Kluyveromyces lactis: one gene and its partners. The protein of the gene in region 1 interacts with the protein of each later gene in a pairwise test. Links are inferred from orthologs where the notes say so. Each region holds a gene or a part of one and is shown on either strand. Other genes may lie near its edges.

Region 1 (2,364 bases):
TGTCGTAACAAGGTTCCGCAACATCTACATCGAGTTTCCCTAAATTTTGGCGGGTCTTCACAATCCAACCTATCCGAACTTTGATAGCGGATTTTTATCTTTTCCCTACCAACAATGTGTAATGGGTTAAACTTGAACATATTCGAGCAGCTACTGATGGACAGTCAGACTTCTTCCTCTAAGTTCATTTCAACAAACTTGTAAATTTAGGGTTGGATAGTCGAAAGCACAAAAGATTGTGTCAAATTTATTACTTTTTTTTACCAACTGACAATATCATCTGGAATACACAGGCCTGTAACCATTTCTTAATTTGAACAGACAAAAAAAAACTATGTACTGACCACTAACTAGAACCATCAGATGTTGATGTCATTGTTAAGAAGGATGCAAATGTATCAAAAAGTTGTATTAATTGTAATATATATGTTTAATATACAGAGGTCGTAAAAAAAAAATCTACCTGTCGATCACTTGAATCAATGAACGTGCAGTAAATCTTTTCTTTGCTATGCAAACCCCCCACAAAGCGGTTAACTCCTTAAACGATTGATATAAAGAATAAGAAAAGGAAATCACGAAATGTGCAAATCCTTCTTAAATCAACAAAGTTTCAATCTTGTCCTTAACGGCATAGATTTGGCTTTTGATAGCAGAAGCATCGTTAGTGGTAATAGAAGCAGCAATAACTGGTCTGGAAACACCACAAGCTCTACCCAAAGCAGTTCTGGATGGAACAAAGACGTATGGAACGTTCTTATCTTCACACAACAATGGCAAGTGCAACAAGATTTCAATAGGTTCACAGTCAGCAGCCATGATAATGAATTCGGAAATACCACGGTTCAAAGTCTTGGTAGCTTCGTTAGCACCCTTCTTCAATTGTCTCATGTTGGAAGCTTGTTGAACAACATCCAAGATTTGTTGGGACAAGGTGGCATCAGCCAATGGGAAAGCCTTTGGGTTTGGAGCAGACATTATTTCTTTATAATATGAAGTGAAGTATCCGATTGGGTCAGTTCAAGTTCCTTGCAAGAATGAAAAGCTCGCTTGAATCTGGTGTTTTAAGACTAGAAATAAGATCGGATCAAGTCCAAGTCTAAAAAAAGTTTTATCATAAAGTGAGATGAGATGGAACGAGATGAGATGAGGTTAGTCTCTTGAAATCATTTTCTTTAGTTTTTCAATTTTTGAAAATTTTCGAATTCCTCGACTGATGAGCAAAAAGAAACAAATGGGATCACAAACTGGTGTAATGTACGGCTGTTTCACTATATTAATTCAGAAGAACGATATACATTCCTCCTATTGTGATCATTTGGCCATTCTCCGCCATTGCTATAGTACTCTATTATGGTCTAAAACACGCAGTCTGTAGTTGTTGTTCCCCATCGTATGCTTCATACTTCCCCAGGAAGAGCTGCTTTCACTCTCAGTTCTTTACCTAATTTCAAAGGTGCATATTTCTTTGTATTGAAAAATGTACGTATTACAATATGTAAATTTATCAACTCATTTATGAATAAACTCATAGTATTGCCCTTGACTTAGGTATGACCCAATTGATGAGCAATAGCTAGCTATGACTGACCAAGAGGTAAATGAGGAGCAGGCTCTGCGAAATATACCAGAAGTCGGTAATTTCGATAAGTTCACTTCTGTGGATTGGATTGAGGAAGAGAAGCGTGAATTGTCCAAGGGAACATCGCATGACGAATTTGATATACCGCGTTCGAGTTGGTATGAGTACCGCAGGTTAATATGGAAAAGAGGTAGCAGTTTCATTACTTTGACTGCCATTGGGCTTTCCATTGGCGGTATTGCTGGTTTTTTACAAATATTCACTGAATTGTTAGTAAACTGGAAATCTGGACATTGTGCTAGAAATTGGTTGTTAAACAAGGCATTCTGCTGTCCTAAAGAAGAGATCAGTAAAAGGAGTTATGGTTCCATAATAAGTTCGGCTGGCAATGCCGCAGAAATATTCTTTAAAAGATCCCAAAGCGAATGTATCGAAAAAGGTATTTGGGTAGAAGCAACCAATCCAATCTTTTCATTTTTGCTATTCATGTTCTTATCGGTCACATTTGCAACTATTAGTTGTCTGATGGTCCTACACATTGCACCGTTTGCCACTGGATCTGGTATTTCAGAAATTAAATCCTGGGTATCAGGTTTCCAATATACCCCGGAGTTTTTGAATTTGAAGACCCTTATAGTAAAATCTGTCGCTTTACCGCTTGCCATTTCTTCTGATTTAAGTGTTGGTAAAGAGGGACCATCTGTTCACTATGCTACCTGTTGTGGTTATGTAATTACTAATTGGCTCTTGAGCAAGGAGATGGCCTTCCCAGAACAATCCGA
Region 2 (2,940 bases), on another chromosome or scaffold:
TCAACAGATGCACAGATGGACCGTATTATGGTATCGTAACCCGTATGGGGTTATATCCTTTAATTCACTGCTACCAGACATGATTTTCTAGAACGTATGGTTGTTATTGATATATATAAGTTATATATAGTATGTGATAATAATAATAATATATCTACAAATTAAATGTACAAAATAAGGTTAAGAGTGTTCGAGTATTAATACCGTTATTGTGAAAATGGGTTCTTTTGTATTGTCAAGTTGATGAACAAGGTTTTGAAATCTTCTTCTATTCTTTTCCCGTCAGTTAGTCGATCTCCTTTGAACAGGCGAAGGACCTGGACTGTAAGTAAAAGAAACACACAGAGTGACAAAATACAAGTGAAGACGAAGTGGAGACTTTTCTAGTTTGTAGAACTTTATCACGAATCAATGAGATGCAAAATTTCAAATAATATTATAGTGTTAATGATTGTATTGGAATGAAGGTTTTTAAAACTAAAAAGTAAGCAAAAAAAGATTAGAAGCCAAAAAAAAAAGATTAATAGAAGGAATCATGAACCAAGTAGGCATACTCTAGCATTGGTTTCAAAATATCAATATTTCTTTAGCAGCTCTTATAATCCACTTCTCATGTATTTACCGATAACGATACAATGGTCTCTTTCATAAGGTTCCAAAGTCAATTGTTCCAAAGGCTTAATCTTTTCTTCTCTCAATTTTTGAACTTCTCTAGCGAACACAGTTTCAGCATCAACAGTAGAATCGATACAGTTAGCCTTGATAGAGATAACGACACCACCTTGATCCTTCAAGAACATATGAGAGTTCAAAGCAATAATACGGGCTTGATCAGGTTGAGCAACATCTGCGAAGACGGCGTCAACCATACCGATAAGCATTCTGTATTTTTGTGGATGTCTAGCATCTTCAATAATTGGGATAACATTTGGTCTCTTCTTAGCCATAGAGATCAATTCTCTACCTGGTCTGTGAGAGAACTCAACAGCGTAAACCAACCCTTCTGGACCAACGACATCGGAAACGTGGGACACAGATGTACCGGAAGCAGCACCTAGATATAGAACCTTCTTACCTGGAGCAATGAATAGTTCATCCAAACCACCCATGATACCGGCAGCCAATTTGGATCTGAAAGGATTCCAAACACGGTATTCCACCTTAGTTGGTGGGACACCTTCTTCAGTGGAAGGTTCTTCAACTGAAACTCTCTTTTCACCGTACACAGATTCACCTGGAGCGATGTTCTTTGTGACCAAAAGATCTTCTTTACCTCTGGCAATAAAAACACCAGCATGCTTATGAGGTTCGATAACAACCTTAGCACCACCACGGGCACCACCACGAGCACCACCACGAGCACCACCACGAGGACCACCTCTGGAACCACCACGGGCACCACCAAATCCACCTCTGGAACCACCGCGAGCGCCACCACGAGGACCACCACGACCACCACCGAATCCACCTCTGGAACCACCACGGGAACCACCGAATCCACCACGGCCACCGCCAAATCCACCTCTGGAACCACCTCTGGAACCACCGCCGAATCCACCACGGGAACCGCCTCTGCCACCTCTAGAACCTGCTTGGAATGCCATTATTATTCTTAACTAGTTGGGAATTATCTGTCTTGAGATATAATGATTATGCTGCTGTTGCTGCTCTTGATCTTCTTCTCTCTAAATTGGACAAAGGAAAAAAAAAGAATTAAAATTGTGAATCAGTAACAGGTATTGTCGTTGACTTTGAAACAGAATCCTGGACGGCTGTAAAACTCTTCTAAAATGGGTAGATTATAGGAACAGAAAACGTACACAATACTATTCTATAAACAATTGATTACTTCTTTCAAGCAAGAACAACTTAATAAACTCTTACTTTACATTCGATGAGATGAGCTTTCGAAACTTTTTTTTTTCAGCTGAAAAATTTTGAATGAAAAAACAATATTAAATTTCTTTTTCAAAGTTCTCATCTTTGGTCTTTCTGTGCCTCTTGGTACGTACAGAACGATGAACGTTAAAGTCACATGACTATTGTCACATCTGTATCACGTGATATGAATTGATTATATAATCATATGAATCTACAACTTTTCAAGATTTTTTTTTGCTATGTTGAGCCAGATACTTGCTACAATGCGTACGTTTACTAAGGATTTCTATACAAGTTTTTCATAGTCAACATTGCGAAAATATGCAGATGAGATCATTTTTGGTTGTTGTTGTGAATATCGGTATCTTTATAAAAGCAGATAAAAAATCAGAGAAGTGGAACCAGCTTTGACTTTTGTACGTTATAGCAATCAGAATCTGAATTAGTATATCTGGATAAATTTTCTGGTTTAGTTTTGAGATCCTATTTTCCAAACTATCGCTGTATATTTTAATCCGACAGTTGAAGATATTACCTAGATAAGTGTCCCTTTATGTCTGCATCCAGTTCAATTTTTATTAAATCACGCTCAAAGAGCTTAAAAGACGTCAAGTTGGAAGTTCCAACAGAAAATACGTTGACATATCAATCTGTTTTGCAACAGATTTCGAAAAGCAATCACAATATTAGCGTTAACAGGTTAAGGTTAAGCTATCTGAAAGAAGGTAAGCAAGTCGCCATTGGGCCCTCTGAATTGAACGATGTTGGTAAGAAAAACACGTTCGATTCAGTTAACGAGTGGTATGTTAAGGATTTGGGTCCGCAGATCTCTTGGAGACTGGTGTTTTTCATCGAATATTTGGGTCCGATCTTGATCCATTCTTTAGTTTACCTTTTGTCTTTAAACGCAACAGTTAGGGACAAATTTCATTCTAAAAATGTTCCATATAACGATTTCTTCAATAAGTTCATCTACCGTCTGATTATGGTCCATTATCTAAAGAGAGAATTCGAAACATTGTTCATTCATTCTTTCTCCCTGGAAACCATGCCATTGTT
Region 3 (3,531 bases), on another chromosome or scaffold:
AAAGTTATTGTTGTGCCTTCTGAGGGTCCAATTGGTTTTGAGAAATATAATTTCCCTACCGTTGATGCTTTAGTAGATGAAATGTCGAAATTACTTTGCTCGTACCCGTCACAGACAGAGTACTATGTATCGGAATGCTTAAAGCTTTGGAAACTTGACGAATGTACCACAACTCAAGGCGGGTTATATATTTAACGTGTCTTTAATCAAATATTGGGATTACACCCGTTCTGTTTTTTAGTGACGATAATTGTCTAGTATTCTAATTAAAATATGATTTGGGTGATATACAGATGTAATATGTAACAATGGTTAAATGATGAGTTGCATGTTTGTAGACACGAGGTTTTCCTTATTGTCTTAGGATACAAGTAGGAGCGTTAAAGGTGCAATTAAGAGCTTTATAATTATGAGAAACCGGAATGACTTAATAATGTAAAAGTGAAAAGTTAAATGTAAAGTGACGAGTTTAAACTGAAATATGATGAAAAAAAATAATAATAAAGTCGATCAATCTTCGGAAAATGATTGAAAAGTTGACACAACCTAATCCTTATTTTTCTTACTCTTCTTTTCCTTCTTATCCTTCTTCTCTTTCTTCTCTTTCTTTTCCTTCTTTTCCTTCTTTTCCTTCTTGTCCTTCTTGTCCTTCTTGTCCTTCTTAGACTTCTTTTCCTTCTTCTCTTCTTGTTCAGAGTCTTCTTCATCGTTAGATTCTTCTAGCTTTCTCTTCTTGGAGACTTCAGTCGTATCCACTTCTTCTTCGTGAGCTGGCTTATCTTTATTGTACAATTCGATGGCTTCCTTGATAGCAGATTCATTCTTCAAAGTTGGGGTACCAGAAGCATAGAATTCCAATCTTTGTTCAACTTGTTTCTTTAGCACTTGACCGAAAACGTTAGATGGTTCATCGGAGTAATTATCGATTCTAGAAGCCATAGAACATTTGTTAGCCAAATATCTAGAGATTCTACCCTTGTTCTTAGCACTAGCTTTAGCGATGAAACCACTGTGGTAAATCAAACCATACTTTGGTGTGTTACCTTTAGTCTTCAAAGCTCTGAACAATGCCTTTTCAGCACCCAAGATTTGGACAGTAGAGGCAGCTTGCTTAGAAAGATTGGTCAAAGAACCAGAATGAGAGATCAATCTAGCACCGATAACTTCACCGATCAATTCGGACAAGTTTGGAGCCACAGTGTGCATCTTCTCACATAGGTAATCGTATAATTGTTTCCTGTATTCAACAAGGGAGACAACTCTCTTAGCGAAGATGGTAACGTTTTCCATATCAGTTTCAGAAAGATCTTGACCCATAGAGATACGAGCGTTATCGATCACTCTTTCACTGATACCAGCATCGTTATCCAAAATTTCCGATAAATCGTGCAAGGATTCTTCGTTCAAAGATGCCTTATCCTTAATGAATAGAACGAGTTTAGCAAACTTGTAATTGTCTGGGACTAACTTTGCCAACTCTGGGAAATGCCAACCGTACCATTCCTTCACTCTCATGGCAAAAGTGTTGATATCCTTATCCAATTGATCCAAGAGAGCAATGGCTTGAATGATATGGTTATCGTTTTTCTGAACAGAGAACTTAACCTTAGCACGAGAGTAAGCATGACCCAAACCAAGTTGAGCTCTTTCCAAATCACCAGGTTGTAAATCTTTCAATAATTTGTCACCGTGTAATCTAACACCACGAATCAAATCCTGAGCTAACTCATTAGAAATACAATCAACAAATGGAAAAACTTCTTTAATGGATGGACCTAAGTTCTTATCAGAAATAGCCAAAGTAACAGTCTTCTTAGAAGAACCCTTTGGTAAATTTAAATCCAACAAAGCTTTCAAATGTTCAGAGACTAAACCTTCAGAAATATCATTAGCATTTTCCAAAGCTTGAGCAGCACCTTTGAAAGGAGCAAAAGAAACCAACTCAACTAACTTAGTGAAAGAGCCGAAATCATTGATCTGTTGCTGGACTTCCTTCAAACGAGATCCGATATCATCCTGTTGCAATTTCACTTTGAAGATACCATACCCGGTAGGTTCTTCGAACAAAAGATATTCAATAGGAGCCATTATTTAATTCTCTGATCAATAAAGTTTCCTCGCTACCGTAAAATCTCTTTGATCTGGACTCTTCAACACACACTAACTTCGGAATGAATGAACAAAACTCAAGATAATACAGACAAGTATTAATTGAAATATCGCTGTGCACATAACACAATATACAATATATTCACTGGTCAGAAAGCTCATCTCTCTTTATTGGCTTCGAAATGAAAATTTTCCAAACAAAAAAAAAAGAGCGATGAGCTTGAAAAAGAAAAGCAGAATGGGAAATATATTTTACTTACCCGGCCGCGGCCGGGTAAGTTATACACGTGATCGAATGTATTACCCGGATATAGAATAATTGACAAAATCACGTGACCTGGAATTTTCTTGTCTTTCCAAAAACAAAACAACGAAAGGAAACTCGAAATTGTATTCAATGAATTCAATTGACACTTGACTATCACTACTTTCAGAATGAATATAATTCCCTTGTTTTAGGTTTTATTTAGGCGTGATTTCTCTCCCCTGATATCAAGGGTCAAACGGTAACTTTATTGGTACATACGGATGGACGATCAGTTTTTGTTCCCGGACGAGAGTGATCCAATGAATTCTGGCGATGGCCAGCTTTTCGGTCAAGGAGGTTCGAACGGTGATGAGTACCTTTCCTTCCTTGATAACTCAGGCGCACCCAACCAGCAAGGTATACCTGATAGTAATTTAGGGCCGATGGAAGATGTTAACGCAGGCGTAACGCCCCAGGCTATATTGGCTAGAAATTCATTCTCAACTGTCAATTCACCTCCGTCGATGAAGAACGGTGGAGTCTCTATCTCTCCACAATCCATGTTTTCTCCAGCCGCAGGACCAATTCCTATGAATACAGCCAATGTAGCACCGACGCAGTCTCCCGCCGGCACTACTTCTTTACAGCAGATGTTATCGCAGCGTGGAACGCCGCAAAATGTGCCAAGTGGATCCCCTACAATGGCCGATGAGTCTTTAGCTCAGGCGAGTGCTAGTAGACAGAGCCCTCAGTATATGGATAGAGCCGCAATAATTGCTGCGCATCAACAGAGGCAACAGCAACAGCAACAAAAGCTACAGATGTTGCAACAACAGCAGGCATTCAACCAATTACAGCAGCAGAAACTAAGACAACAGCAGCAACAAGCACAGGCTCAAGCGCAGGCACAGGCTCAAGCACAAGCTCAAGCTCAAGCCCAAGCACAAGCACAAGCACAGGCTCAAGCTCAAGCCCAAGCTCAAGCGCACATACAAGCACAAGCGCAAGCACAGGCGAGAATGCAACAACATGCGCCTCAAGTACAGAATCAGTCTAATAACCAAAGAAACGTTCTACAAAATCTAGATCCAGCCATTCAACGGAAAGTCGGTCAGGAATTAAACACCAAACAGTTTGAACTATTTAGAAAATCATTTTTGGAACATTGCAGGAGA

Evidence for each region.
Region 2: the proteins of SNU13 (region 1) and NOP1 interact in binary tests that used the Saccharomyces cerevisiae proteins (3 or more experiments, as listed by UniProt). The link is inferred for Kluyveromyces lactis from reciprocal best matches to the Saccharomyces cerevisiae genes SNU13 and NOP1.
Region 3: the proteins of SNU13 (region 1) and NOP56 interact in binary tests that used the Saccharomyces cerevisiae proteins (3 or more experiments, as listed by UniProt). The link is inferred for Kluyveromyces lactis from reciprocal best matches to the Saccharomyces cerevisiae genes SNU13 and NOP56.

Annotation. Positions count from the first base shown.
Region 1 is NC_006041.1:2,008,776-2,011,139, reverse strand, and holds SNU13 (RNA binding protein SNU13), read right to left. Parts: upstream 979-2,364; coding exon 598-978; downstream 1-597. Other genes in the region: putative E3 ubiquitin-protein ligase HUL4, read right to left, coding at 1-140; GEF1 (Gef1p), read left to right, coding at 1,583-2,364. UniProt on the Saccharomyces cerevisiae protein: Common component of the spliceosome and rRNA processing machinery. In association with the spliceosomal U4/U6.U5 tri-snRNP particle, required for splicing of pre-mRNA.
Region 2 is NC_006039.1:400,085-403,024, reverse strand, and holds NOP1 (rRNA methyltransferase NOP1), read right to left. Parts: upstream 1,605-2,940; coding exon 597-1,604; downstream 1-596. Other genes in the region: trans-2-enoyl-CoA reductase (NADPH) TSC13, read left to right, coding at 2,435-2,940.
Region 3 is NC_006040.1:1,043,634-1,047,164, reverse strand, and holds NOP56 (snoRNP complex protein NOP56), read right to left. Parts: upstream 2,089-3,531; coding exon 547-2,088; downstream 1-546. Other genes in the region: PBA1 (Pba1p), read left to right, coding at 1-195; SWI1 (Swi1p), read left to right, coding at 2,638-3,531. UniProt on the Saccharomyces cerevisiae protein: Required for 60S ribosomal subunit synthesis.